Elephas maximus indicus: one gene and its partners. The protein of the gene in region 1 interacts with the protein of each later gene in a biochemical or structural test. Links are inferred from orthologs where the notes say so. Each region holds a gene or a part of one and is shown on either strand. Other genes may lie near its edges.

Region 1 (5,683 bases):
GGAAGCTCCTCCAATGCCCCAAACCATACCTCCTCCCAGGAGTCCATCCTTATTTCGAACATTGCTATCTACCCAGTTGCTCAAGCCAAAAAGTTAGGAGTTTCACTCATAACCAAATCCTGTCAGCAGATTATTGATCCAACTTCCAAAATATAATCTAAATCCCACCATTTCTCACAGTCTCCACTGCTATCACCATACTCCAGTTGGGTATCTCTAACCAAACCCAGGGGAGTCTCAGAATTTAGCATGCATCAGAATCAACTCCCAGGGCTTGTTAGATTGCTGGGGACTAGGAATTATCGTTTCTAATAAATTCCCAGGTAATGCTGATTCTGCTGGTCTGTCAGGTGCCTGCGAGTGGATAGCGACCCCATGTGACAAAGTGTAACTGCCCCTTAAGGTTTCCTAAGCTGTAACCTTTGCAGGAGCAGACCACCAGGTCTTTCTCCTGTGGAGCAGCTGGGTAGGTTTGAACCACCAACCCTTTGGTTAGCAGCCAAACACTTAACTACTGCTCCACCAGCACTCCTTCCTGTTGGTCTGGAGGCCAGATTTTAAGAACCACATCCAGCTCACAATGCTGCAACAGCCTCTTAATTTGATGCCTTCTATTGTCGGAGCCATTGTCGGAGCCCTGGTAGCGCAGTGATTAAGAGCTCGGTTGCTAACTTAAAGGTTAGCAGTTCAAATCCACTAGCCCGTCTTGGAAACCCTGAGGCAGTTCTATTCTCTTATAGGGTCATATGAGCCTGACTCCACAGCAGTGGGTTTACTGTTGCACTGGTGGGACAGTGGTTAAGAGCTGCTAGCCAAAAGGTCTGCAGTCGGCACCCACCAGCCAGTCCACCAGCCAGTCCGTGGAAACTGTATGGGGCAGTTCTACTCTGTTCTATAGAGTCATTATGAGTCAGAATCGACTCAACAACAACACATTTGGTTTTTGGTTTTGGTTTTCTGCTGTTGTCAGCCTAGGAACCATGATCCCCAAAGCAATCAGAGTAACCTTTTTAAAGGTTTAAAGGTTTAATGAGCTCATATTATCCAACCCTACCTGAAAATAGTCCAATGGGTTCCCAATACACTGGAAATAAATTCTAAAACCAATCACATTCCGCTTGCGCTACACCATATTTTCACTTTTTTTGCATTCCAAACTCCAGCTTCGGAAATTATACATATTTTGTTCCTATTATACGGGACTGTCTTCTGTATCTCGACATGGTTGTTACAAAGGGATAAACTCCGTTGATAATTCTTGGGAGTAAAACATTATCACTGCATGATTAAATTAGGTTCGGCTTCACGCTATTTGATGTAAGAAGCGGCAGAGAGAAGACACCAGCACTTAATTCCCAAATTTAAAAATCAAGATTCCATCTCCCTTACTGGGGAATCTTTACTTGAACACCTAAGTCAGGTGCTTTGAAGAACTAAGGACACAAACTCCAGAAATTAGTCAGCAGCATATATGAAGGAAACTAAATTATCCTTTTTCAGTGCACAGCACAGGAGCACGTAATGGAACAAATCTAAGTACTCCCAGTAACCTTACCACTTGGGAATAACCGAATCGTATTTCTTTGCTCTTACAGGTAACTTATCCTGCTTAACGTTTATCAAGGTTAATACAGCACAAACCCGTGTTTCACTAGAAAACAACTACCAGAGCACTTGAACCTTCACGTGTGATTCAGGTACCCAACGTCAATTTTAATAGCAATTGAACGAAGGACGAATCCCACCTACTCCCCCAAAGTTTTTCCCCCACCCTCCACGGCCATAAACTCTTTTCCCATTTGAGACAGAAACGAGCTAGATACCTGTGTTTAAACAAGGTTTAAGTTTTCTTAGACTAGACTTGAAGACAGTATCAAGATACAGCGGGGACACATTAAACCCATAGGGCCAGTGACAGCTTCTTTCGTTGACACAATGGGCGCCTCTGAAAAGAGCCTTTGGAACAAAGAAGCCGGAGACTGTGCGAAGGCTGCATCCCATCAGGTGACTCACTTGGAGCTGGTGTACTTGGTGACGGCCTTGGTGCCCTCGGACACGGCGTGCTTAGCCAGCTCGCCGGGCAGCAGCAGGCGCACGGCCGTCTGGATCTCCCGGGACGTGATGGTCGAGCGTTTGTTGTAATGCGCCAGGCGGGACGCTTCCCCGGCGATGCGCTCGAAGATGTCGTTGACGAAAGAATTCACGATGCCCATGGCCTTGGACGAAATGCCTGTGTCGGGGTGGACCTGCTTCAACACTTTGTACACGTAGATGGAGTAACTCTCCTTGCGGCTGCGCTTGCGCTTCTTGCCATCTTTTTTCTGGGCCTTGGTAACAGCTTTCTTAGAGCCCTTCTTAGGAGCAGGAGCGGATTTGGCCGGCTCAGGCATAATAAGAACTACCGAACTGCAAAAAAAAACAAAAACAAAAACAAAAAACCCGTCCCAAAACCACTAACAAAACAATCGAGCCGAGCCTGCTGGCAACAGCTCGGTACTTATAGAGGCGGTACGCAAATGACGGTTCTGACTACGCTGCTCTGTGATTCGCGGGTTTCCAGTGGCGCCGGTGCGAGGCGGGCCAGATTATGTAAACGAATGGATTCTAACCGAGCTATGCTATTGGTTTTCAGGACAAAGATGCGCTGTAGCCAATCAAAACGGTCCGCAGACAATCGCCGTTCTGCCTATAAAAGGGTGAAGCCGGGCAGTTGGTGGCGACTTTGGCGGTTGTTTAGGTAGAGTTGTGTCCGTGTGTTCTCGGTGTAATGTCTGGGCGTGGTAAGCAAGGAGGCAAGGCTCGTGCCAAAGCCAAGTCTCGTTCGTCCCGCGCAGGCCTGCAGTTCCCGGTGGGCCGAGTTCACCGTCTGCTCCGTAAAGGCAACTATGCCGAGCGGGTGGGGGCCGGTGCGCCCGTCTACATGGCGGCGGTGCTCGAGTACCTGACAGCGGAGATCCTAGAGCTGGCGGGCAACGCGGCCCGGGACAACAAGAAGACGCGCATCATTCCTCGTCACCTCCAGCTGGCCATCCGCAACGACGAAGAGCTGAACAAGTTGCTGGGCAAGGTCACCATCGCCCAGGGTGGCGTTTTGCCCAACATCCAGGCCGTGTTGCTCCCGAAGAAGACGGAAAGCCATCATAAAGCAAAAGGAAAGTGAGGTTGATGGCTGGAAACTGCCCGCCCAGCCCCCGTCCTCCGTGGTCATCCGTATAAGCCAAAGGCTCTTTTCAGAGCCACCCACTCTTATCAAATGAAAAGAGTTGTTGCAATATCCAGTCTCAGTTCTACTTTCTTGATAGTGATAGCGGAGTTTTCCGTAGCCGCCATATAGGAGGTGGGTGGGAAGTGGAATACCATTTGTTAGCTTTTCTCCCAAGCTTTTGAGTTCCGAGCGTTTTTCGTTTATTTCATGGAGTGAGTTGCGCATACTAGAACTAAACCCAAGTGGAGGCACCAAATACCTTGGGCTCCACCCACGGTCTTTTAACCCACAAGAAGATACTGGGCAGCACCAACCCGTTAGCTCGCTTGGCGCCGAGTGCGCCACTATCAGTTCCCGAAGCTTTGCCCACCACCTGACCCGACCCTAGTTTGAGGGATACGTTATCACCCCCTTCTACAGGGGAGCAGTTTCCGAGAGTGCAGCGGACCCGAGTCTCAGCTTAGCCTAGCCCAGCGTCTTGGGGAATAAAAAAAAACGTTTGTGCGGCGGAGATACCGATCCACACTAGGCTTTCGCAGGCCAACTCTTAACCCTTGGGAGCGGACAGCTTTCCAAGCGGAAAAGCACCGACCAGGAGGAAACGATTAACCAGAGCGAACGGGGCGGCCGGGGGAGGGTGGGTTGCTCTGTGAAAAGGTTACAAGATTTGGGGGGGAAGGGATAAATGTTTCATTCCGGAGCTACAAACACAGCGCAGAAAGGCGGGGCACGGGTAGCGTGTCCTAAAGGAATGATAGGCGGAGGAGAAACGGTCTCACGAGGTTGCAATCAAAAACGCCTCTCCGAGGAAAGAATCGGGAAAAACGGAGAAAAACTGTTGGCAAACTGGAGAGTAGGAAAGGGGGCGGGCTGGCGGGGGAGGTCGGAGGAGGGTTCTGTCCAAGCCTATCGGTGACGCCAGGGCGGATGACGTCACAGCCAATGGACAGTCAGCGCGGGACTTTCAATTATCCTCCCGCCCAATCCGGGAGAGACTGCGCCGATAAAGACTGCTGCTGCTGGAGGGCTCGCATTCCTGTCCCTGTCGCTGCGCCGGTTAGCTCGTGTCTTGACCCGTTATGGCCCGTACTAAGCAGACTGCCCGCAAGTCGACCGGGGGCAAGGCCCCGCGGAAGCAGCTGGCCACCAAGGCCGCCCGCAAGAGCGCGCCGGCCACGGGCGGCGTGAAGAAGCCGCACCGCTACCGGCCGGGCACCGTGGCCCTGCGGGAGATCCGGCGCTACCAGAAGTCCACCGAGCTGCTGATCCGCAAGCTGCCGTTCCAGCGGCTGGTGCGCGAGATCGCGCAGGACTTCAAGACGGACCTGCGCTTCCAGAGCTCGGCCGTGATGGCGCTGCAGGAGGCGAGCGAGGCCTACCTGGTGGGGCTGTTTGAAGACACGAACCTGTGCGCCATCCACGCCAAGCGCGTGACCATCATGCCCAAGGACATCCAGCTGGCCCGCCGCATCCGCGGGGAGCGGGCTTAAGTTACACTGCACTCGGCTCGGGGTTCCATCTCATCCAAAGGCTCTTTTCAGAGCCACCCACAACAGCATTCGAAAGCGGCTGTGTCACTTAGTCTGGGCCGTCACCGGGTGGACGCTCCCAAAGTCGGGGAGAGGTTTAGGGGGGTGAAGCCCTAGGTTCCCGGGGGTGGGTTGCGTAAAAGATAGGACGGGTTGATAGGTTTGCTTAACCTGCTTATAGACCGCTTAACTGGTGGCTTGGAGCTTTACAGGCTTAACTGGGTTCGTAAGGTCACTGGCGCTTGCCCGTTTTGCGTCTCTGAGTTGGCCACCCACTGTCCCGCACTGAAGTTTTCCGCCATTTGGGGGCCTAAGCTCTTGTGCTTTTTTTGTACACGGCGACCCAGCATGCGAATTCGAGTAGGTAGGGAGTGGAGAACGAACTGACAGCGGAAGGAGTTCCTGCGGACGGGAGCGCGCCTGGGTCGCCCTGTGCGGGAACGAAGAGCTGCCCGCTGCCAGGTATGCGCTCATCCTTTCCCCCTCGCCCCGCCCCTGCCGGAAACGGCCTCACCCGGCGCGGCCTAGTACTGGGGAGGGAAACCGCCGCCTCTGTCTAGCTCAGATCCTTCGGTTCCTGTGCTTTGGCTGCTCTTTAGGTATTGGTGAGGCCCGTGCTCCCCTCCGCAGCAGGACGTTATCGGTTTGTGCCACTGCCCTCACCTCCACTCTACCGCCTATTTGTCAAAGCTCCCAAAGCTCCCTCAGTAATTGTTTCTGTTAGGTGCCATAGAGGTGGTTCTGACTTAAGGCGACCGTATAAACAGAAGAGCGAAACTGCCCGGTCCTGCGCTGTCCTCACAATCTTTGCTATGTTTGAGCCCGTTGTTGCAGCCACTGTGTCCACCTCGTTGAGGGTCATCCTCTTTTTCACTCATCTACCAAGCATGATGTCCTCCAGGAACTGGTCCCTCCTGATAACATGTCCAAAGTATGTGAGACATTTCGC
Region 2 (8,223 bases), about 9.4 Mb from region 1:
TCAGGCTTTTACCTCTAACAAAAGGTCTTGGGAGAAAGGCTTGACCATGGCTCTAACTTGGTGGTGGTCCCTCGTAGCTAAGGCCCGACGGCAGCAGCAGCGGGCAGAGTCTCAGCACGTTCTCAGTCTTCAGAGAGAGTAAGAGACTAGAGAAAGATTTCTTTGCTAATACCTTCTCTCAGTAAGCAGGAATTCAGAGTTTATATGTGAAATCCTCACCTTGGGCTCATACGATGGGGACCAGTGTGACGTCGGAGACTAGTATGTTATGTCCTTCCTCCAGGGTTAGAGATTACTCAAATGTCACTTTTTTTTAAGTTTAGAGATTAAGGAGCTTGTTTAGATTTTTTTCTCAAGGATAGTTTACAAAGATTAACTACGCTATGTCCTCTTTTATCACAGCATGAGGTCAAAGTCAACTTAACTTAAAGATTGTTTGCCATATTCCTCACACACTTCACATGATTCTGTGTCAAAGTTCAGAAGTTTTATAAATAACTATCTATGACTTATAGGTTTCTAATTATTTATATTTAATGTTAAACAGCCTCACAAAGGTAGATGCATTTCTATTTCTAAATTCATGTTTTAAGTGATTAAAAAAGAAAAAAAATATACATATGTATTTTGAAAATATTATAATGCCTTATACCCTATGGGATTTGAGACCATTATAGAAACATACAGAACAATTTAATTGTTCCTCTGTCGTGGATTGAATTATATCCCCCCAAAATATCTGTCAACCTGGCTAGGTCATGATTCCCTTGTATGATTGACTTCTACCATTTTATCTTCTAATTTCCCTGTGTGTTGTAAATCCTATCACTATGATGTAATAAAATGGATTAGTGGTAATTATACTAATGAGGTCTACAAGATTAGATACTGTTTTAAGCAAATCTCTTTTGAGATACAGGAGAGAGAAGTGAGCAGAGAGACATGGGGACCTCATATGACCAAGCAAGCAGTGCCGGGAGCAGCGTGCGTCCTCTGGACCTGAGGTTCCTGTGCTGAGATGCTCCCAGACCAAGGGAAGACTGATGACAAGGACCTTCCTCCAGAGCCGACAGAGAAAAAAGCATTCCCCTGGAGCTGGTGCCCTGAGTTTGGACTTCTGGCCTCATGGACTGTGAGAGAATAAACTTCTTTTTGTTAAAGCCATCCACTTGTGGTATTTCTATTGTAGAAGCACTAGATGACTAAGACAGTATCCAAGCATTCATTCATTCAAGACCAGGTGTATTTACTGAGTGCTGTCTATGAGCCAGGAATTATTCTAGTGCTGGGGACCACAATGTTGGGGAAACAAAAGTCCAAGTCTTCTGAAGTTTACCTTTTACAGAAACCAAGTAAACAAATAAAGTACATATAAATATTAATAAATGCCATGAAGGAAATAAACAGTGTCCTGGGATGGAAAGTATTATTTAAGGTGGCTGGGAATGCCTTGGGGCAGGTGACAATCAAGGTGAGACCTGAAGGATGAGAAAGAGCCATTCAAGTCAAATGTTAGGAAAAAACAATTTGCCAGGCCCTACAAGAGGTAAGGAAACCCTGGTGGTGTAGTGGTTAAGAGCTATGGCTGCTAACCAAAAGTTGGCAGTTCAGATCCACCAGGCGTTCCTTGGAAACCCTGTGGGGCAGTTCTACTCTGTCCTGTAGAGTTGCTATGAGTCGGAACTGACTTGATGGCAACAAATTTTTTTTAGAAGAAGCAAATGAAGACCTGAGACAGGAAAGTGTTATACTCTTAGAAAGCCTATATATTTTGAGCCCAGTAAAAATTGGGGAAGAATAGTGTGAGATGCAATCGGAAAAGTAGACTGGGGACAATGGGAAACTTCAGGATTGAAGCAGAATGCTATGGTCCAATATGGGTTTTTAAGAGCTCATTCTTGCAGCTACGTGGAGAATGGATTAAAAAGGATGTGGTTAAAAGCTGGAAGATCCATGAGTAGACTGATTTCCAGGCAAGCAAAGATGGAGGATTAGACCAGGGTTTTGGCAGTGGAGATGGAGGAAAGTAGATGGGTACAAGATATATTGTGGAGCTGACCCAAAAAAAACTTATATTTAGAATTTTCTTAAAAGAGATCACAAGGATATGAATTAAAAATTGAGAAATTAATGCATTTAAAAAGAGAAGGTGACATTTTGAGAAAGGAAAGAATGGGAGAAGTATACAGTAAATAGGGCAAAAACAGTTAACGTACTCAGCTGCAAATCGAAAGGTTAGAGGTTCAAGTTCACACAGAGGCACCTCAGAAGAAAAGCCTGGCAATCTACTTCAGAAAAATCAGTCACTGAAAACCTATGGAGTACAGTTCTACTTTAACACACATGGAATCACCATGAGTCAGAAGTGACTACAGAACAATTGGTTTAAAGTGGTCACATTTACAACTCTAATTCCATGTCTGGGGTTCTATTTTCTTAAAACAAGGTATTAAACCAAGAGGAGGGGAGTGGAGGAAGAACTGCTAGAAGGAATTTTAGCTATAACTGGTTGTGGTTGAGCCCGAGCCCACGTCCCCCAAAAGCTGACAATTTACCCAATGAAAAATAATGAAGCAAAATTTAACAGATAATTTTAATAAGAAACAGTGGTTCTCACTCTGGCTGCACATTAAAATCCCCTGGGGAGTTTTTTAAAAACTAGATGCCCAGGCTCCACTGGAGGTTCTGATTTGATTGGTCTGAGGTGGGACCCAGGCATAAAAACCTACTGCTGTCAAGTTGATTCACTCATAGCAGTCCTACAGGACAGGGTAGAACTGCCCCACTGAGTTTCCAAGGAGCAGCTGGTGGGTTAGAACTGCTGACTAACAGCCTGAGCCCCTAATCACTGTGCCACTAGGGCTCTGGGACCCAGGCACAGGTATTTTTTTAAAGTTCCTCAGAGGATTCTAATGAGCAGCCAGGATTGAGAGCCCTGAGTAAGAAGTAGAGCTGAGGATGCCAGATCAATAAACGCATTCCACTAATGAAGGATTAATAGAATAAGGTGAAGGAAATTTTCCCCCAGATAAGCAATACAGACCTAATACTTAAACGTAGTTCAAAAAATGCAGTACGGAATTTCCAATTCTCATGGAACCCAGGCTTTCTGGAGCCACTGAGGCTGGATGAACCTCCAAATTATTGCCCTAAAATAATCTTTAAACGTTAAACCAAAAATATCCCCTAAAGTCTTCTTTAAACCAAACAATGGTTTAGTAAAGAGAGTCTGCCTTGAGTACTATGCTCTTTTTAAGAACTATCCGTACGGGATCAAACTGACAGCAGCAGCTGGTAAGGTTAGCTAGGAAGCTTACGGGGTAGTGAGTTTACATTTAATGCAGGAGGACTAATTCGGAAAAGGAAGGTGATAATGGTTGCATAACTTGAAGAAAGTAATCAATGTCACTGAATTGCACATGTAGGAACTGTTGAATTGGTGTATGTTCTGCTGTGCACGCTTTCAACAACAAAAATAAATAAAGTGTATATATATAGAGAGAGAGAGAGAGAGGAAACCCTGGTGGCATAGTGGTTAAGTGCTACGGCTGCTAACCAAGAGGTCGGCAGTTCGAATCTGCCAGACGCTCCTTGGAAACTCTATGGGGCAGTTCTACTCTCCTACAGGGTGGCTATGAGTTGGAATCGACTGGACGGCAGCGGGTTTGGGTTTTATATATACATATACACACACACACAAAGTTCAAGATCACAAAGAAAGGACAGCCAATTTTGTTGGCTTTTTTTTTTTAATGTTAGGGAAAAATGTTCTTACCTGACTTGTGAAGAACATAGACATTCCTAGACATCACACATACTTAAAAATATGTATTTTTTCCCCATTATGGTCAGCAAAGAAGAGAGAGGTTAATAGGCGATGGATGAATTAAAGAAAAATAGAATGGCAAGAGGAGACTACTATTTTGCCCAGACAAGGCAAGGAGACACACATAGGACAATTAAGGCGTTGCAGTAGAAAACTGACAGAAAGAATGAAGGATACAGATATTGGGAAGGGAGGGGTATTATAATTGGTTACTAGCATACATTTGACAGTGGGTTGGATTGTACTGCATCTTGCTTTTCAACCTGTCTTCACTCTGTACCCGTCCAGGATTTAACTCTTGTATGAAGCGCAGAGTAGCAGAGAAGATACGAGACAGCCAAGTAACTACAGTATCCTCCTGAAATGAAAATCAGAAACGTAATTCTCCTTCCACTGCAATCAAGATCCCTTATTGCTTGTCGGTGAATAGGAAATTGACAGGCCAGAGAAGTTATTTACCCTAAATCATTCAACTAGCAGTCAGATTAAATCAGAACCAAGGTTTTTCATTATTAGGTTTTTACTTTGCTTCATTTACATTTTCTTGCACCTACCTCCTCTGAAAATAGAAGAGATTGTTGTCGCAATTTTCCAGATAAGGGGTGCGACCCTTTTAATTCGGTGGAATAAAACGACTGAGTTGAGCAGAGAAGGCAAAAGTTGTAATTTTAGTTTAAGCGGGTGTGTCCACCTCAGGGAGAGAAAGCAAAAAAGGAACTGAGAAGCTAAGGTAAGGAGGGGCCTGGTAAGGTAAGAAGGGTAATAAGGTAAGGAGGGGCCCTGGTGGCGCAGTGGTTAAGAGCTCAGGCTGCTAACCAAAAAGTCGATAGTTCAAATCCAGCCGCTGCCTGGAAACCCTACGGGGCAGTTCTACTCTGTCCTATAGGGTTGCTTTGAACGGCAATGGGTTTGTTTTTCGTTTGTCTGTGTTTTGGTTTAAGGCAAGGAGGGGAAACTGACAGAATTACAGAATGTGGGTGTTGTCAGGCGGAAAACGTATGTCGGGACTTCGAAGGCAGCGCGTTGCGGCCCTGCGGGCTACCCAACAGGAAGTGAGAAGCTCGGGTGGGCACTACATGTCCCAGAAGCCCATGCTTCCTGGGACCGCGCGACGCCGCGCAACGCCCGCCGGGAGCCGACCGGAGCTGCCAAGATGTCGCTGCTCAAGAAAAGAAAGCTTGAGTCGGGGGGCGGCGGCGAAGGAGGGGAGGGAACTGAAGAGGAAGATGGCGGAGAGCGGGAGGCAGCCCCGCAGCGACCCCGGAGAACTAAGCGGGAGCGGGACCAGCTGTACTACGAGTGCTACTCGGACGTTTCCGTGCACGAGGAGATGATCGCTGACCGTGTCCGCACCGATGCCTATCGCCTGGGCATCCTGAGAAACTGGTCAGCGCTGCGAGGCAAGACGGTACTGGACGTGGGTGCGGGCACCGGCATCCTGAGCATCTTTTGTGCCCAGGCCGGAGCCCGACGCGTGTACGCAGTGGAGGCCAGCGCCATCTGGCAACAGGCCCGGGAGGTGGTGCGGCTCAACGGGCTGGAGGACCGGGTGCACGTCCTGCCGGGGCCGGTGGAGACAGTGGAGTTACCGGAGCAGGTGGATGCCATCGTCAGCGAGTGGATGGGCTACGGGCTCCTGCACGAGTCGATGCTGAGTTCCGTGCTCCATGCGCGGACCAAGTGGCTGAAGGAGGGCGGCCTTCTCCTGCCGGCTTCCGCTGAGCTCTTCGTGGCGCCCATCAGCGACCAGATGCTGGAGTGGCGCCTGGGCTTCTGGAGCCAGGTGAAGCAGCACTACGGCGTGGACATGAGCTGCCTGGAGAGCTTCGCCACGCGCTGCCTCATGGGCCACTCGGAGATCGTGGTGCAAGGCCTGTCCGGAGAGGACGTGCTGGCGCGGCCGCAGCGCTTTGCTCAGCTGGAACTGGCCCGGGCCGGCTTGGAGCAGGAGCTGGAGGCTGGGGTGGGTGGGCGCTTCCGCTGCAGCTGCTACGGCTCAGCGCCAATGCACGGCTTCGCCATCTGGTTCCAGGTGACCTTCCCCGGAGGGGATTCGGAGAAACCCCTGGTGTTGTCCACTTCACCTTTTCACCCGGCCACGCACTGGAAGCAGGCGCTCCTCTACCTGAACGAGCCGGTGCAAGTGGAGCAAGACACGGACATTTCCGGAGAGATCACCCTGCTGCCCGCCCGGGACAACCCCCGCCGCCTGCGTGTGCTGCTGCGCTACAAAGTGGGGGACCAGGAGGAAAAGACCAAAGACTTTGCCATGGAGGACTGAGTCCTGCCTTTTCTCCCAGTTACCTCCCAAGGCGGCCTGACTTGTGTGGGAGAGGCGTAGGGGGGTCGGAGGAGAAGGGAAGATCCCACGTGCAAGTAGGGGCGATATCTGTCTGCCTTTTTTCTTGTCTCCTGGGGAGGGAGAGTGACTTCAGTCTCTTTTTGAGGAGATCCTGCTGGCAATTTTTATTTAAAGAGTGATGATTCCCCACAGCAACCGCTACAGCGTAGTTATTAATGTGTGTTTAAGCCTCAAAAGCCTGTGGTACCAAGCACTTTTTTTCTATTTCTTTATTTTCATGGGGCGAAGGGGGGACCCACAGAAGAATGTTGATTTGTGAAGAGTCCGTTTATTCAAGTCTCTTACACCTCTCACACCATATGTACATCTGAAGCCAGGGAGAAGGGTAGAAGGGGTATTTTCTCAACCTGTGAACTGTCTCCCACCCCAAACCAAACCCGTTGCCATCCAGTCGATTCCAGCTAAGGCTATATATGGTACTTCTGCCTACATTGCTTTTTTAAATAAACTTTTAAGACTGGGAACGAGGAGGGGGAGAATGAGCACTTTAAATAGCCGTGTCCTTATTACTCTTACTACTTCTATAGGGTGCTGAAGTTGATAATTAATCCATTAAGTAAAATGGATTACCTAAAACATTTAGAAGGATTTTAGGAGAAAAAGACCTGAAAGGAGTGAAGTAGTATGGATTTTTTTATTCTTAACTATTAAGACTTAACCAGAAAATGTCCTATATATATTCCATAATATATTTTTGCCCAATTCTTACAAAACAGGCTGATGGAGAATTCAGCCTCTGACCCAAGGGCTTATTCATTGCCTGAGTGAATTATTTAAACTCACTAAATTAAGGAAAATATTTTCATAACTAGAACAGTGCACTCATTCTCATTTGAACTCCCTCACATAGAAGGGATCCTGTGACTTGGCCTACTTACATCTAGTGAAATATAGTTAAAGTTCCCATTTTAGTTCCTTTTCTTTTTAGCTCAGCCAAATGTGAAAGTTGTGAATTTAGGAAAATCACTTGTAATGAAGTGTGAGTCATGTTATCAGATTTGTTTCACTGATGTTCCTCTCCTTACCCCCGTGGCAAATAAAACATTGGCATTCTCACTATTTTTCCAGCTGATGTAAGAAGTCTTGTGTACTGCCTGAGCTATGATGTTTTTGCCTTTTTAATATTGTCAGATCTGACGCAAAGTGTTACAACCCCTTCAGAATATAGCTGCAGGATAATTCAAACTATGCTTAATATATAGTTTTTATATGCCAACAGCTTTGTGTGCTAAGAGAAAATAGTTATGAAAAACTGGTCATCTTTGAAGTTATTTTAACTTTGCTTACTGTAACTGAGTTTTCTGTTCCTTTATTCATTGCATATTAAAGTATTTCTGTATTATTACTAAGTTGCTAAAATGTGGTGTCTAATGTATGAGACCTGCCATTATGAAGGGAACCATACATATATAAAAATCATTGACTTTACAAGATCATTGAATAGCAGTATGGTCTTAAGTATCACCATTTTGATGTCAAGGTAGTTAACGGCTTACATAAAATAGTATAAAAATAGAACACTAGGCTTGGTTTAAGCTAGTTTAAAAATAGCTATTTTAGGGTCAACTATCTTAAATTGAACATTTATCCAACATTTAAAGGTTTAATGTACAATTTTGAGTAGATTTCTGGAGTGGTTGTGTGTGTTCAACTTCCTATAACAATCCTTTTGCTGTATTTTTTTTATGAGCAAATGAAACCATTCTTCCAAATGTTATTCTTACCACCAGGATGAGCACACAAAGGAAACCCCAGTTAAAACTTTGGATAACTATAACTAGTTATAAAGGGTGTTTAATAACTAAGCAAAGTAAGCTTTAAAATCCTTGTTATTCTTTCCCCTAAGAAACATAAATTATCGTAAAAATACGAAATACGTAAAAGCAGTTTGTCGAGAGGCTGTATAGCATGGCGGATAAAAGCATGGGCCCTGGACTCAGCCCATGCTAGAGCCTTGTCTCCACCGCTCTTGTTATGTAATCTTGGAAAAACTGTTTGCCCTTTTTCTTTTCACTCAACGTTCTCATTTGTGAAA
Region 3 (7,816 bases), on another chromosome or scaffold:
TGAGCTCTCCCCGGAGCCCCAAAAGCAGATTCTCTGGCTTTATGTCTCTGTGGATCACCTTCTTCCCGTGGCAGTACATCAAAGCATCTGCCAGCTCCTCCATGATCTGGAAGGGCCAAGGGCAGACAGTCAGACGAGGAGGGACCTTCCAGCTGCGAGCAGTGCACCCCGAGTCTCGAGCCCCTGCTGGCGCCCTGGGTGCCCACCCGCCCAGACCGTGGCTGTTCGCTGCTCATCAAAAGTGCGGCTCTTCTGCAGCTCCTTGTAGAGCTCCCCCCGCGGGGCATACTCCAGAATCAAGTAGACCCTCCGGCGATCATAGAAATAGTTGTAGAGACGCAGAATGTTGGGATGCCTGGGGAAGCACAGAGGAGCCTCAGTCTGCATCCTGGCTAGGAGCCAGGGAAAATGACAGGTCCATATGGGGCAAACAGGACCGGGCTGGGGACGCCAGGGCTGGGAGTGGTGAAGGGGAACACAGGTGAGGATGGGGACAGCTCTCTGGATTCATGGCTCTGGCCCAGTTGAGAGCTAAGCAGACACAGCTGCCTGGAAAGCAGGCTGGAGGTGGTGGAATGGAAAGAGAAGCTTGGGGCTGGGGGTGAGGGGCAGAGGGGCTTTGCTTGGAGGGTGTTGACCTACTGCAGATGGGCCTGGATTTCGATCTCTCTGCGCAGTTGGTGCTCCACACCCTCCTTCTCTATCTGAGACTTGAAGAGGACCTTGAGTGCCACGATGAAATGGCTTTTCTTCTCCCGAGCCAAGTACACATTTCCAAACTTGCCTTTACCCAGAGGACGCCCAATCTCAAAGTCGTCAATTGTGAAGGGCCGCCTGATCGGAAAGTGAGGGGAAGGCCGCTCAGTGCCAGGAGGTGGCATGGGTTTGTTGGTCATTTAAATTGTTTGTCTTCTCCCTACTCCTCAGCCCATCCTGCTCTCAACCCTCTTTCTCTTGGAAGGGAGCTGAGAATGGACCAGACTTTCCTGCCCCATCCCTACTCCACCTGCCCCTGGGGTTTACCTCCCTCGTTTCCTATCCCACCTCTTCTCTCCCACCCCGAGGCTTGGGGTACTTACATTAAGAAGCTGGGTGTCCCACTGCTGTTCTCTGTCATCTTCTTCTCACCAGGGGCAGCTAAGAGAGAACAGGTAAGTTGAGGCCCTCATTTGACCTTCTCATCCCTGTGCCCTCCCCATAGGCTCCAGTCCCTTCAGGTCAATCCTCTCCCTCGTCTGAGTTACCTGTGGGCTGGGCATTGGAGCGGCTCATGAGGACAAGTGCAGATGGGGTGGCAAGGTCTTTCCGGAATACTCTTTGGGGCAGGGTGTTTAGGCCAGATTGAGCCTGAGAAGGAGCAAGGGGTAGCTCTGAGGCGCTTTTGTCCCAGTGACTGGGCTGGAATGTGCTACGTGTAGCAATTTAGCTACTTGCTATGGAGCCACGACTCACTCACCCCCAGCTCAAAGAGGAACACTGATAGAATTCTGCCACCCAGCCCTAAGACTCTGCTCAGAGCACAATATTACAATGTGTTATTAGTTATCAGCCTAAGTTAGACTTATATAAGGATCAAAAGACTCATCCCAGCGCCTCACGTTTCACCTTTTTGGCCCTGGCCCACACCACATTCTCAGGTACAAAGCTCTCCAGCCTCTATAGTCCTGTCCATAACATCACATTCAGTCACCCAGGCCCCCCACCCTAGGGAGCAGTAGTGGACTGGGTCAATGAACACCCACAATCCGAGGAGTTTTAGCACAGAGGTATTCTCAGTCCCCTAAAAGCCCAGTCTTTAAGGCTCAGGTGAGGTCCTTGAAGCCTTGGACGTTGCAGCAAACACCAGTAATTAGCCCTTTGCACCAACAGGCTTTTCTGGACACTGAGGACTACTTTGGTGGCCTGGGACCACTTCTAATTTTCAACCTCTCAGGTTAATATACGCAACTTTCTTTTGGGAGTGACCAATGTAGAGGTGACAGTGGTTTCTCATTCAGCCTCCACTCTTAACAACCTCACTAAGTGCTCCTGGAGGGAGGGAACTGTTGGACAAGGGATAGATGGACCCTCCAGGATGCCTAAGCCACACCAACAAGGGAGCTAAGCCAGTGCAGTGTTTCTTCAGCCCAGAGAGGAAGAAACCCTAGTGCCCTTAGAAACCTGTCCCAAGACAGCAACAAATAAACAAGCCCCAAAATAGACCCACATATATTTGGGAATTTAAAACGTATAATACAGGTGGCATTTCAAATCAGAGAGTGAACTCTTCAGTGAAAGGTGTTGGGACAACTGGCTAACCATCTAGAAAATACTCTATTTAGATCCTTCTGCACTCTAGTTATTAAAATAAACTCCAAATTATTAATTTAGACTTGTCCTTGACCTTTTAAACATCTTATTTCTATTTCCGGTCTATCTTATTTTTTTCAGGACAAGGGTAGGGAATCGTGGCTCAAAGGCCAGACCCTGACTCTGGCCAGACGCTCAGTCCCAGCTATCACTTGAATGTGACAAGTAGGCTCAGTCAGCCCAGCAGAGGGGCCAGTGGTTGGTCAGATTCAAGTTCACAGCACTTGAGAAGCCTTTAGGACGTGGCTGCGAAAGACCAGACCGGATTCTTCTAGCAAACTCTTGGAGCCCATACAGTGGAGCATACTAGCGAAGAAAGTGCTAAGAGGATCGGCCTCTGCAGGACCCCAAAGCTGGCATTGGGCGCCTTAGACAATCTCCAAGCAGTATCTCGCCATAGGGATAGGGGGAGGAGGGAGAGGAAAGGGCCTTACCGTCTGCCGGCCGTAGGGCCAGGGGTAGGCGTTCTCCTTCTGGGCCATCCTTAGAGGGAAAGGGGGCGGGGAGCTGAGCCGGAGGAGGGAAACAGAGCCGTGAGAAGAACATAGAATGAGCGCACGAGGGAGGGGTCTGACCTTTCTAGCCGGAAGCGCCTGCCTGGGGCTGGTGGAAAGGAGCGGATCAGCACGCTGGCCAGAGTAGTCGGGATCCCGGCGCTTGCCATTTCGTCCCTCCCAGCTACTGGCCCCACTCCCCTCCAGGACCCTCTCTCCACTTTTATACGCCCAGCAGCCCAGCGGAATGCGCGCGGGCCCGCCCAACGGACCCCGACCTGCCTGATCACCTGTCTTCTCCCGGCGCAAGGCCCGCGGAAGGGGGCTAGCTCACCTGGAGCCGGCAGGACAGCTGCTCTCCCTGCCTCCCGCAAACGACTGAATCTGCCCCGACGCGCCCCAGCCGAGGCGCTTTCAAATCTCCCGCCCTGACCCCATTGGCTGAGCGCACCGCCCATGCCCAATTCTTATTGGTTGGATGTTCCCTGACTTAGGCCGTGGGAGCCCAATGGAAACGGCGGAAGGCGCATTTCCGCACTCTCGCATTCCGGTATGGAGAGGTTTTCTTTCCCCGAATCAGATGTTCTCAAGTTTGTTTTTTTTTTTGTTTTTTTTAATTTAAATCTTTAATATCTCTGGAATTAATCCGTGTGTGTATGAGTTAAGATGTAACAGATGGGTAGTCAGTTATGCCAAGACTATTTGTTAAAACTGCCACATTCCCAACGTGATTTAAATGCCACCCTTAATATATGAAGTTCCGGTTTTGGGTCTGTTTCTGGGCCCCCTGTTCTGTCACCTTATTTGTTCGTTTGCGTGTGTGTCTGTCCTTGGGTCATTACTATTTTGTTCTTAAAAGTCCTGCATCCACTAAAACGTCCCTAGGAGGAAGTATATGGACGTTTCTCTGCAAGTTCTCCTGCGGTTGCCATGTTGTTTGAACCTGCTCCGCCGCCTTGCTGCAACGTTCGCCTCTTTTCTGCTCCTTCCGACGCAGAAGTAACCCCACATACTGGTTTTGCCTGTTTTGAACTTTGCATAAACAGACCCATACAACATGTATTCTTCTGTGCCTGACTTCTCTTGTTCAATACTATTTGTGAGATTCATCCATATTGTCGATGTACTACTGGTTTTTAAATATACATGAACACGATAAAATTTAAACAGTTCGGTTAAAAGTAAGACTCTCTACCACCCCAATTGCCTAGTCCTCTACTCCTATCCCCAGAGGCAACCATTGTCATCCGGCTCTTCTGTGTGCCAGCATTTTGTTGTCAAAATGATTCATCCTACCAGTAGAAAAATGAAAAAATTACAGTGTGATTGTGAAGAGGAACTTGAAAGCCCCGGTCCCAGCCACACTCCCCAGAGGTAAATTCTACTAATGTATTTTGATATACCCTTCTAGATCTTTTCTATGCACGTATTAGTTTGATATACCCTTCTAGATCTTTTCTATGCACGTATTAGTTTGATATACCCTTCTAGATCTTTTCTATCACGTATTAGTTTGATATGCCCTTCTAGATCTTTTCTATGCACGTATTAGTTTGATATACCCTTCTAGATCTTTTCTATCACGTATTAGTTTGATATGCCCTTCTAGATCTTTTCTATCACGTATTAGTTTGATATACCCTTCTAGATCTTTTCTGTGCATGTATATGTCTGTCCTTGAAAAAATGGCACAGATGGAATCATCACACCCATTGCTCTCCGATTTACCTCTTTAAATCTTTCAGTTTTCCTTGGACATTTTCCCACATCAACACAGTCAGACATAACTCATTCATTTTTAAAAATAATTTATTTTGTTGTTAAGAATATACACAGCAAAACGTACACCAATTCAACAGTTTTTACATGTACAATTCAGTGACATCGATTCCATTCTTCCAGTTGTGCAGCCATTCTCACCCTCCTTTTCTGAGTTGTTCCTCCCCCATTAACATAAACTCACTGCCCCCTAAGGTTCCTATCTAATCTTTCAAGTTGCTGTTGTCAATTTGATCCCATACAGATAGATCTTGGAGGAGGTACAGCCAGAATGCTACTGGCATAAGGATAGAAATATAGATCAATGAAATAGAATTAAGAGTCTAGAAATAAGCCTATATATTTATGGTCAATTGATTTTTTTTTTTTAATTCTGCTTTAGGTGAAAGTTCACAGCTCAGGTTAATTTCTTGTTCAAAAATTTGTACACATATTGTTTTGTGACACTAGTTGCAATCTATGTGACTCCTCCTTTCCACCTCAGGGTTCCCTGTATCCATTCAACCAGTTCCTGTCCCCTCCTGCCTTCTCATCCTGCTTTTGGATAGGAGCTACCTATTTGGTCTCATGTATCTGATTGAACTAAGAAGTACATTCCTCACGTGTATTATTTTTTTGTTTTATAGTCCTTTCTAATCTTTGTCTGAAGAGCGGGCTTTGGGAATGGTTCAGTTCTGGCTTAACAGTGCATCTGGGGGCCATAGTTTCAGGGATTCTTCCAGTTTCTGTCATGGTCAGTTGATTTTGACAAGTGCGCCAAGACCATTAAACGGAGAAAGAATAGCCTCTTTAACAAATGATGCTGGTACGACTAAATAAATTTCCACGTGTAAAAGAATGATTGAACTCTTACCTCACACTATATTCAGAAATTAACTCAGAATGAATCAAGAATCTAAAAGTAAGAGCTAAAAATACACCTTAGAAGAAAAAAAAAAAAACAGGAGTAAATCTTTATAATCTTTGATTTGGCAATGGTTTGTCAGACACCAAAAGCACAAGCAATGAAAGAAAAAAAAGATAAAATTAAAAGCTTTTGTGTATCAAAGGATACTATCAAGATAGTGAAAAGACTTCCCACAAAATGAAAAAAATATTTGCAAATCATATATCTCATAAAGAATTTATATCCAGAATATATAAAGAACTCTTACAACTCAACAACAAAAGGACAAATAATCCAATTAAAAAATGGGCAATGGACTGAGACCAGAAGAACTAGATGATGGCCGGCTACCACCAACGACTGCCCTGACAGGGAGCACAACAGACAGTCCCTGACAGAGCAGAAGAAAAGCAGGGTGCAGAACTCAAATTCTAGTAAAAAGACCAGACTTAATGGTCTGACTGAGCCCGGAGGGACCCCAGAAGACATGGCCCCCAGACTCTTTATTAGCCCCAAACTAAAACCATTCCCGAAGCCACCTCTTCAGACAAAGATTAGACTGGACTATAAGACATAAAATGATACTTGTGAAGAGTGTGCTTCTTAGCTCAAGTAGATATTATGAAAATAAATGGGCAGCTCCTGTTCAGAGGCGAGATGAGAAGGCAGAGAGGGACAGGAGCTGTTTGAACGGACAGGAGAAACACAGGGTGGAAGGGAGGAGTGTGCTGTCATAGAGCAACTAGGGTCACATAATAATGTTTGTATAAATTTTTGTATGAGAAACTGACTTGAACTGTAAATTTTCATTTAAAGTACAATAATTAAGAAAAAAGGCAATGGATCTGAATAGACATTTCTCCAAAGAAAATATGCAAATGGCCAATAAGCACACGAAAACATGGTCAATATCACTGATTACTAAAAAGAAAACAAAAACACATTGCCTTTCAGCAGATTCCAACTCATAACAACCCTATAGGACAGGGTAGAACTACCCCACAGAGTTTCCAAGGAGCTTCTGGTGGACTTAAACTGCCCACCCTTTGGTTAAGCAGCTGTAGCACTTAGCCATTATGCCACCAAAGTTTCCTCGCTGATAATTGGAGAAATGCAAATCAAAACCACAATGAGATACACTTCATGCCCACTACGGTGGCCATAATAATTAAAAAAAAAAAAAAAAAAGGAAAATCACCAGTGTTGGCGAGAGTGTGGAGAAATTGAAACCCTTGTGCATTGCTGGTGGGGATATAAAACGGAACATATGCTGTGGAAAACAGTTTGGTAGTTTCTAATAAATTTAATATAGGATTACTGTATGACGAGCAATTCCACTCATAGTTACATATTCCAAAGAACTGAAAACAGGTGCTCAAACAAAAACTTGTACACGAATGTTCACAGAAACACTATTCACAATAGCCGAAAAGTGGAAAAAACTTAAATGTCCATCAACAGATGAATGTATAAACAAAATGTGTCATAACTATACAATGAAATATTATTCAGCCATAAAAGGAATGAAGTTCTGATACATGCTACAACATGGATGAACCTTGAAAACATTAAATGAAAAAAAGCAGCCACAAAACGACACGTATTGCATGATTCCATTTATATGAAATATTTACAACAGCCCGTGTAGTCGTGGCCGAGTGGTTAAGGCGATGGACTAGAAATCCATTGGGGTCTCCCCGCGCAGGTTCGAATCCTGCCGACTACGCTTCGTTGGAAACCCTGGTGGTAAAGACCTTGGCTGGTAACCAAAATACCTCCAGTTCGAATCCACCAAACCTGTTTCACAGGGTCTCTAGAAGTCGACAACGACTCGTTTGGTTTTGGTTCTGGTATCCAGAATAGGCAAACCCATAGAGACAAGAAAGCAGATCAATAGTTGCTAGCTAGAGGCTGGAAACCCTGGTGCGCAGTGGTTAGGTGCTATGGCTGCTAACCGCAGAGGTCGGCTGTAGGAATCCACCGAGCGCTCCTTGGATAACCCTATGTGCTATAGGGCAGTTCTGCCCGGTCCTGCCCCGCCCTCACAATTATTGCTATGTTTGAACCCACTGTTGCAGCCACTGTGTCAATCCATCTCATCGAGGGTCTTCCTCGTTTTCTGTGACCCTCTACCTTACTAAGAATGATGTTCTTCTCCAGGGCTTGTCCCTCCTGATAACATGCCGAAGGTACGTGAAATGAAGTCTCGACATCCTTGCTTACAAGGAGCACTCAGGCTGTAGTTCTTCCAAGACGGTCTTGTTCGTTCTTCTGGCAGTCCACGGTATGTTCAATATTCTTTGCCAAC
Region 4 (8,269 bases), on another chromosome or scaffold:
AACAAAACATTAAAAATATCTAATACAATAAAACAATGCCCAATTTATTTACCTAATTATTAAACATTCAAACTGAAGAAAAGGATAGCTAACAGTGAACAGCTACTTTTTTTTTTTTTTTTTAAACCAAAAACAAATACACAAAGACCTCTTTAAAAAATAACAGTGTCATGAGGCATCTTCTTCGCTGGCTTAACACAACCCACTAAATTAGCGATCACCTAAATATCACTGACAATTTTAAATTATTTTCCTTACATTTCAAAAAGAATATTAATTTTCATTTCTTTGGTGAATTATTTCTCATTTCACATAATTTCGGCCATTAAAAACCTAATTTACATTTCTCATTCCTTATAAGAAATCACGTTACGTATCAGTTTCACTTTCCGGGTCCAGCTAACTACAGGGTCTTTACTGCATGAATCCCAACACCGTGTAGAGACACACAATTGAAAAACCTTCCCTTGGGTTTCCATTTCACATATTAGTTTCCATTTACATGTTTCTAAAGCAATTGGAGATTCCATTCCCTTCAAAAGACAAATCTAATTTCAAAGAATTCACTAAAAAGTTTAGAACCATCAGAGTTACTGCTAGACTTTGCTTTCTTATAAGGAACGCCATACTACTTTCCAAAGCTAAAGAAAAAAACTTAAGATTTAGAATTTTTCTAAACATTTCACAAAGTTTTGATGTTTTTACAGTGTTGGGTTTGTGTCATTCTGTGGAAATTTTTTAAATTCTCAAAGGGCCACCTTTTTCTTCATTCATAATATGAGAGAAAAAAATTCACGCTTTTATAAAATGGTAATACCCTAAATGAACCTTTTCTCCACTGCATCCTGAAGCTGTGCTAACACAAATGAGCTCATTCCAACAGCAGGGTAAGTATGTGTGCGTGTGCACATGTAAGCGTGCCTATGGGGTGAGGGGCAAGACAACATGGATAGGTCCACTGTAAAAAAGAGTAAGAATTTAAATGCAGATCTAAAACATACAATAATCCCAAATTAATGTTCAAAAAGACACCGAGAGATGGTTTTCAAACAGTGAAAATGGAAAGCAATCAATTAAAAACCCTACTATGGCTTGACTGGTGTTGCTTTGAAGGATACAAAAAAGTGGCAAAGTTTTAAAGTTACTTAAAACTCTACCTTCCTTCTCCAAATTTCAGTTAATACAGTAATAACAACAATAACGTTTTATGCCAGACATTATATTACAGCAGGAGTGGCGTAATAAATAAACCCTAACTTTGTATCACAAAGAAGCTAATATAATAATGCATGCATCCTGTACTTCTTGTTTCCCTCACGGTTTGTCATAGCTAGGTAAGAGCTGGCAGTAAAATATGGAGGCAAGCTCAAGGCCCTGAATCATTTTCACAATGAAAGGATAAAAAAGCACATACGGTCAAGGGCTGCAAGGGATTCCCACAACCGGGCCTTGTTACGCCTCAGTAAATTCTGTTTTTACTAGTTATCACGAAATATAACCATACTATTACTAAATGAACGCACCCAAACCGAAGAAACTGCTTTCCTCCACTTCCCAGCGCCCCTTCCACTACAACAGTTCAGTGAGAACCTCACAGAATGAAATGACGATCCTGTACACGCCATTCCACAACTTTGTGGGGCATTCACAGATCTCCCAGAGCGCACCAGAAAGCCACAATAGCTGAGCACTAAAAAGCTGGCACTAAAACGGGCTTCCTCCTTTACAGACAAAGTGGCCGTGTAACCATTTTTAAAAAGACATTTCTAATTTCTGGTGATCTAAAAAAAGGAGGCATACATTCCTAACCTACGTTCAGAAACAAAACCTGCTCCTAACCCAGAAATCGTCAGGAGTTACTACTTCAGGGTAAGTTGGGCACCACTTCCATCTGTATTCTATCCGAATCAATGTGCTCCCGATATCCTGCCTGGTGTGGGAAGGCTGGCGACGCTTCCAAAACTTCAGGCACTGCTTCACCTTCAGCCGTGTGGTCACACCGCGCTGGGCTTTGGCTGCCGAGCAGCGCGGACCCGGGTGTGTGCGGGGAGGGGGGACGGAGACGTCAACTGTCTTCCTAAATTCACATTAAAGGGTGAAAATACAGGTTTGCGATCCGGAAAAGTTGAAGGAACGCCCGGCTGACAAAGAAAACCAGCGCCAGCCCTCCGCCTTCTTCTCGCCCACCCACCGGGGCCCAAGCCCACCTGGCCCAGGCGTTTGACAGCTACGAGTTTCCCGAGAGCCGGCGGCTCCGTAGTTGGGGACCGACCCGCCGAGGGCACCACCCGGGGACGCCTCGGCGCTGCGTCTGTTTTCCTGGACGATCCACTTAGGCCAAGCCAAACCGACGAGAAATTTCCCCTAAAAGCCGCACGGAGCACACACACCGACGAGGCCAAAGTAAAAAGTAAAGTGTCGCGGCGCCCAGCGCCCGAGCGGAGCCTTATTTGGCAGGGCGAGCTGCGGCCGCTCCCGGGCCGGGCGGCGAGGGGCGCAGCGCGGTGGGCGGCGGGCGAGGCGTGGGGGCCCCGCGGCAGCGCCAGGGTGCCGACAGCGCCCGGCCGCTCCCCGCCCCCACCCCGGCGGCGGCGGGCGGCGGCGGCGGGCGGGGGGCGCGGCGGCGGCGGGGGCGCGGGCGGGCGGCGGCGGCCGGGTGCGGTGACAGCTCCGCCGCGGCGCCGGGGCTGGCTCCCGGCCGCGCTCCCTCGCACTCAACTTACTTCTTTCTGGCTCTCTGGAAAGGGGAAGCGCCATCTTTGCGAGGCCGGCCCCGAGGTCTTTTGTCTGCGGCTGCGGGGCTCGGGGCCGGGGCTCCGGGCTCCTCGGGGGGTGGTGGCGGCGGCTGCGGCTGCTCCGCGCTCCGGTCCTCCTCCGACGACATCCTAGTCACCAGGAAAGACACATGGATCCCGGCCCTCCTCCCGGGGGCTCCTCCCGCCGCCGCCGCCGCCGCCGCCGCCGCCGCCGCCGCTGCTGCTCTGGTTCCTCCTCCCCGGCTCAGCCTCTCGCATCTCCCGCAGCCCGGGGAGCAGCCGCAGGTACCGGGCGAGGAGGCAACATGGAGCGAGCAGGACGCGCACTCACACACATCCACACGCGGGCGCGCGCACTCGGCGCGCAGGGGCCGGCGGGGGCCGGGCGAGGGGCCGCGGGCCGCGGGCGGGCGGGCGGGCGGGCGGGGCGGGGGGCGGGCGCGCGGGGAGGGGCCGCCAGGGAGGGGGCTGCGGGCGGGCGGGCGGGCGGGCGGGCGCGCGCGGGCGGGCGGGGCCGGGGCCGGGGGCGGGGGAGCCGGGCGGGGGCGGGGGAGCCGGGCGGGGGCGGGGGCGGGGGGGCGGGCGCCGGCTCGACCCCGGGGCTCCGCCCGCCGCCCTCCCCCAGGCGCCGCCCGCGGCAGGGAGGCGGCGGGGGCCGAGGCGGGGAGCGCGGGCGGGCGGGCGGGGAGCGGGGGCCCGGGCGGGGAGCGGGGGCGGGGAGCGGGGGCGCTGCCACCCGGCCTGCCCCTCCCGCCGCCGCCCCTCCCCGCCGTGGGCCCCGGGGGGCGGCGGCGGCGCGAGGCGGCGAAGTTTTGACAGCTGCTCCAGTTGTTGTGGGCTCCGGGCTTTCTCCCTCAGGGCGGGCGCCTCGCTCTCGCAGCCTCGCGCTCTCACACTCACGCTCACAGCACACACTCGCTCACACACACACGCCGCTCTCACACGCTGGCTCGCACTCGCTCTTTCTCACACACTCGCTCCCTCACACGCTCGCTCGCCCCCAGGAGAGGGCAGAAGGAAGTTGTGTTGCTCGCGTGTACCACACACGCGCACCACCGTGGCGTACGCCGGGGCTGCGCTGCGGTCTCTCCCCCGCGCGACACGCACCACGGACCTCTCAAACTCGCCGCCGTCTCGCCCACACAGCCCTGCCTCGACGTCCCCGCTCCCACCCCCTTCCGGGGCCTCCCCCCTCGCCCCCCCGCGCGCCGCCGCGGCCACTCACAGAGCTCGCTCCGCGCCTGCGCGCTCCTGTCCCCCGCGGACGCGCCGCCGCGCCGTGACCTCACCGCCCCTCCCCCGCCTCCCCTCCCCCCTCCCGGCTTCCCCACCCCCTCCCCCGCCCCCTCCCCCGTCCCCCAGGTCTCCCTCCCTCCTCTGACGCGGCAGCCGAGGCCACAGCCGGCGCTCGGGCTCGGGCTGGGGCTCGGGCTGGGGCTCGGGCTGGGGCTCCGGTTCGGGCTCCGGCTCGGGCTCCGGCTCCGGCCCCGGCTCCGGCCCCGGCTCCGGCTCGGGAGAGAGCCAAGTTGCGGATGCGAATCTCCGGGATCTGGATCCAGAAAATACCGGAGAGAGAAAGGAGAGCTTTGTAAACGCTCCAAAATACACAGTCATATAGAAAAACCCTGACGCGATGGCAGCGCTCTCTGCCTCCCGCACACAGACACTCACTGCGTTTCTTCCCCTTTTCTATCTACCCGACATACACAATGAGTGTAGAGATGACATAGGCGACGTTACCGCCTTCATATACATCATTTTTTTTTTTCGTTTTAATGCCCGTCTGTGGAGAAAAAGAAATGGAGCACAACTTCACTATCTAATTCCAGTTATAGTTTCGTATTATAAAGTCATTTTTTTAATCCAGAAAGGGCTTATAAAGCCGCAAGGCAGACAAAACAATGTTATCTCGAGGAATAAAATGTTTAAAGTTGGAATAAACCGATAAACATCCAACAACTTGATTTTAACCTTCGGTGATTTGTGATGAAGACACAAAAATCGAAGCATTTCTACGCTACCTAAAAATGGTTTAAAAAATGGGACTAGAATTAGAAAGTGAAATGTACATTTTCTAAGGTATAACAGTTACGTGTTTCTGTATTTAATCCAGAGGTAACACTTGGACAATGTTTTATTCTGTGCTTTCCTTTCCATCCACTATTGATTAATACGTGGCAGTGAAAAAATTGTAGATTTGAACTAGGGAAAATATTCAGACCTCTGAACCACTTGAGAAAGGATTGTTGTAAAGAATCATTTAATTAGCATCTACTCTGGGCCTGGCACTGCTAGACGCTTTCTGATCATGATTCGTTTCAGTCTTCAGAACAACACAGTTTTAGTATGAGGTAAAAATAATATCCTGATTTTTCTAGGGATGTCTTTTGCCTTCCCATAATCCCAATAGGCAGGATACATATTGAATGTGGCTTTCGATTTGGACAAAATACACACACTTTGATTTCCAAAGTCTATTATGGCTAAAAGCATAGCTTTAAAATGGCTGAAATGAGGAATATTTTAAGACAGCCATTTGAAGTTTTCAGAGTTTAATCCCTATCGGCTTCTTTAAGTTTTCTGAATTTTACAACCAAGGGCTGTTTGAGTTTTGGGAGAAGCTGGCTTGGTGAATGCAAACTATAAATTAAAAACACCTGTGTATTATACATAGACAACATATACGTGAATGACTAATAATAAATTTATGAAGTGATATATTTAAAATTTATTAAGTACAAACATTAAAATTCACCCTTTCTTTTTCATTTTTTCTGCGCATTGCCCTTTAAAGAAAATACACATTCAAAAAGTGGACTGTTGATCCATATATTTTTCTGTGTCCAATATTGAAAATTACAACAGCCATTTCCAACTTCAAGTCTCATATTCTGTGAGTTTCACCAAATTGTACATCAGGGTAATTCAGTGTACTTCTTTAGCACTTAGGAGAATGTAAGTGTGGGATACACATAGTTGCAAGTCAATCCTACTGGAGACAACTTTTAAAAGAAAACAAGAAGGGACTGAGAAGAGAACAAGTGGGTAGAGTAAACGGCAGGACAGAAATAAAGATTTTTGCTGTGACGCTTCTGGAAAGATAAAACATGTTGAAAGGTGAGTAAACCTGGCCTTTTTATTTGGCTGCATTTCTTTGGCTACAGTAAGCAGAAGGGGAGTTGGGATCTGTTTTAAAAGGACTGATAGCAGGCTCTTTGGCATGAAGTTATCATGAGCAGAGCAAAGAAAATACAACCCAGGATCTGAGGAAGGGTTTAAGGAGTACATAAATAAAGGTTTCCCAAAGGTTTTTCCAACTCAGTCATCCAAATTGCACTGCTCTGAGACCACACTGGCAAAAGCCCAGGAGGCAGGTGGCTGAGGTTCCTCTAAATTATAAAAGTCAGAAGGGCATTAAGCATCTGGCAGGAGGACCAAACACCAAAAAAATTAAAATGTTTACTTTCTAATAAGTACACATGTTAAATACGCATTTTTTTAAAAAAAATATGGTACACAGGTAACAAACTGTTAGTAGTGATTAACTGGCTAAAGGGTCAGATTACAAGGGAGTTCCTATATTATGTTTTTTAAAATACTTGGACCTTTCGGAGTTGGTGTAGCACTCTTATAATCAGAAAACATATGTATTAAAATATTTAAAATGTCAGAAGGTTAGGATGGAAGGTTGTTGCAGTACAATGAATCGCTTTTATATGGCCTTTCTAGACATGGTCTTGTGACTCCCACAAAAATATTCGATGGGCCACAATCTTCTAAGGGATTGGTCAGGTTACTATGCAAACTGAGTAACTTACAGTTCACCAAGGGGATTGGTCAGTTCGTGGTCCTGGTGGGAGGGCCATGCCTTGAAATTGAGTATTAAGGCCAAGCCCACAGAGGGGCATCAAAAAGAAGAGTCTGGAGCAGAGATTGTCCTTTGGACCAAGGAATGAGAACCTCCTAGACCCGGTAGAAGAAGTGAACACTGAATACAAGCGCAAGATAGCAATAGACAGCGACAGTGGGCTTGCCGACCCACCGAGCGAGAGCTGAGCACCTTCAGGGAGGAGACTCACCAGCGGAATTAAAAAAGCTGTAATGCTTGTTCCTTCAGGGCGGAGGCCTGACCGTGCCCAGTGTAGGGGTTGCATGCCTCCCTCCCTGGACGGTGGGGCCTGAGTAATGTGGCACAACACAGCCCTGCAGGACCAGGTAGCTTGGCAGGAGCTGGTGGCAGAGGCCAGTGAGGACCAGAAGAGACCAGAAGACTTGGGAGCCGTGCAGGGCACCCAAGCATCATGTTGGTAGCCAGAGGCAGTGGCGACATGAATAGGGCATCTGGTATCTGACGTGAACCACGGCGTGCCTGCCCAGCGACATAAGAACGGACGTGGATAATTTGAGGAAGCGTAAGCATTTACCCTTCTCTGAATCTGTTGTTATTGTTTACCATTTGCTTTCTTTAAATAATAATAATGGCTTTCACTTTACCAACACTAAGTGTCTCATGTAGCACTCATGGAATGCCTGATGCCAGTAGGTGTATATGTCTCATTCCTACCAGTCTTATGGTTGCCTGGAAGTTTGAGGCACAGTCTGTCTGCCTGTGCTGTGCAGACAGACAGATCATACAGCTATTATCTGCAGCAAGGAAACTAAGCAAGGGAGAGTCTAGCAAACAAGTGACAGCGATTAAAAATACATACTATAATACCCACTCTTACTAACTGAATGCCTATGAAACGTCATTGATATGTCCTTATTGCTTCATTTTAGTGAATGTAAAGATATCTGTATGACTTTTCCATAGTTTCAATACTCAACATTGTCCCTCTCTTTCTGTTTTCCCATAAAGTCTTAAATTCCTCAGGAATTTTTAGGAACCAAACTTTCCCAGTTGTGGAGAAACCATAGAAAAATTCTAAGTCTTAGAATTTTTGTGTTCAATGTTTACTATTACAATTGCACTAAAAAAAAAAAGGTTACATTCACAGGTTATTATTTTTGGTCCTTTATTTTTCTATAGGAAAAAAATATTTTTAAAAGAATTCCAATCACTTGAAAGTAATTGTTCCTTCAGGGCGGAGTTAGTTCATTGTTAGTCCATAGTATATTTTTACCTTTAGAAATTCATATTGCTTTGTATAGGTTTTTTTCAGTAATTTATACCATATATTATGTATGTGATGGAAACCCTGGCAGTGTAGTGGTTAAGAGCTATGGCTGCTAACCATAAGGTTGGCAGTTCGAATCCACCAGGTGCTACTTGGAAACTCTGTGGGGCAGTTCTACTCTATCCTATAGGGTCACTATGAGTCAGAATTGACTTGATGGCAACAGGTGTGGATTTTTTTTTTTTTTTTAATGTGTGTGATGCAAAAATTATAGGAAGAAACTGAGAAGAAATAAAACAATCATCTTTAAAAATAACTTGTGGATACAAGTGTGTGTCATAACTAGATATTTTGCAGGACATTTTATAAATGGGAACCTTGTACTTATGGGTCTAT

The links.
Region 2: of the proteins of histone H3 (region 1) and PRMT6, one has a biochemical effect on the other in vitro, tested with the Homo sapiens proteins (2 studies listed by BioGRID). The link is inferred for Elephas maximus indicus from reciprocal best matches to the Homo sapiens genes H3C14 and PRMT6.
Region 3: the proteins of histone H3 (region 1) and AURKB form a complex in vitro, tested with the Homo sapiens proteins (2 studies listed by BioGRID, with this or other methods). The link is inferred for Elephas maximus indicus from reciprocal best matches to the Homo sapiens genes H3C14 and AURKB.
Region 4: the proteins of histone H3 (region 1) and KMT2C form a complex in vitro, tested with the Homo sapiens proteins (2 studies listed by BioGRID, with this or other methods). The link is inferred for Elephas maximus indicus from reciprocal best matches to the Homo sapiens genes H3C14 and KMT2C.

Annotation. Positions count from the first base shown.
Region 1 is NC_064821.1:184,006,523-184,012,205, forward strand, and holds histone H3, read left to right. Parts: upstream 1-4,232; 5' UTR 4,233-4,284; coding exon 4,285-4,695; 3' UTR 4,696-4,734; downstream 4,735-5,683. Other genes in the region: histone H2B type 2-E-like, read right to left, coding at 2,010-2,390; histone H2A type 2-A, read left to right, coding at 2,768-3,160. UniProt on the Homo sapiens protein: Core component of nucleosome. Nucleosomes wrap and compact DNA into chromatin, limiting DNA accessibility to the cellular machineries which require DNA as a template.
Region 2 is NC_064821.1:174,631,473-174,639,695, reverse strand, and holds the start of PRMT6 (protein arginine N-methyltransferase 6), read left to right. Parts: upstream 1-4,941; 5' UTR 4,942-4,979; coding exon 4,980-6,107; 3' UTR 6,108-6,202; exon of another isoform or gene 6,203-6,604; intron 6,605-8,223. UniProt on the Homo sapiens protein: Arginine methyltransferase that can catalyze the formation of both omega-N monomethylarginine (MMA) and asymmetrical dimethylarginine (aDMA), with a strong preference for the formation of aDMA.
Region 3 is NC_064837.1:12,566,112-12,573,927, reverse strand, and holds the start of AURKB (aurora kinase B), read right to left. Parts: upstream 3,237-7,816; 5' UTR 3,178-3,236; intron 2,857-3,177; 5' UTR 2,832-2,856; coding exon 2,784-2,831; intron 1,348-2,783; coding exon 1,245-1,347; intron 1,138-1,244; coding exon 1,080-1,137; intron 835-1,079; coding exon 643-834; intron 356-642; coding exon 217-355; coding exon of another isoform or gene 207-216; intron 107-206; coding exon 1-106. UniProt on the Homo sapiens protein: Serine/threonine-protein kinase component of the chromosomal passenger complex (CPC), a complex that acts as a key regulator of mitosis.
Region 4 is NC_064838.1:10,192,150-10,200,418, reverse strand, and holds the start of KMT2C (histone-lysine N-methyltransferase 2C), read right to left. Parts: upstream 3,148-8,269; 5' UTR 2,885-3,147; coding exon 2,724-2,884; intron 2,515-2,723; exon of another isoform or gene 2,208-2,514; intron 1-2,207. UniProt on the Homo sapiens protein: Histone methyltransferase that catalyzes methyl group transfer from S-adenosyl-L-methionine to the epsilon-amino group of 'Lys-4' of histone H3 (H3K4).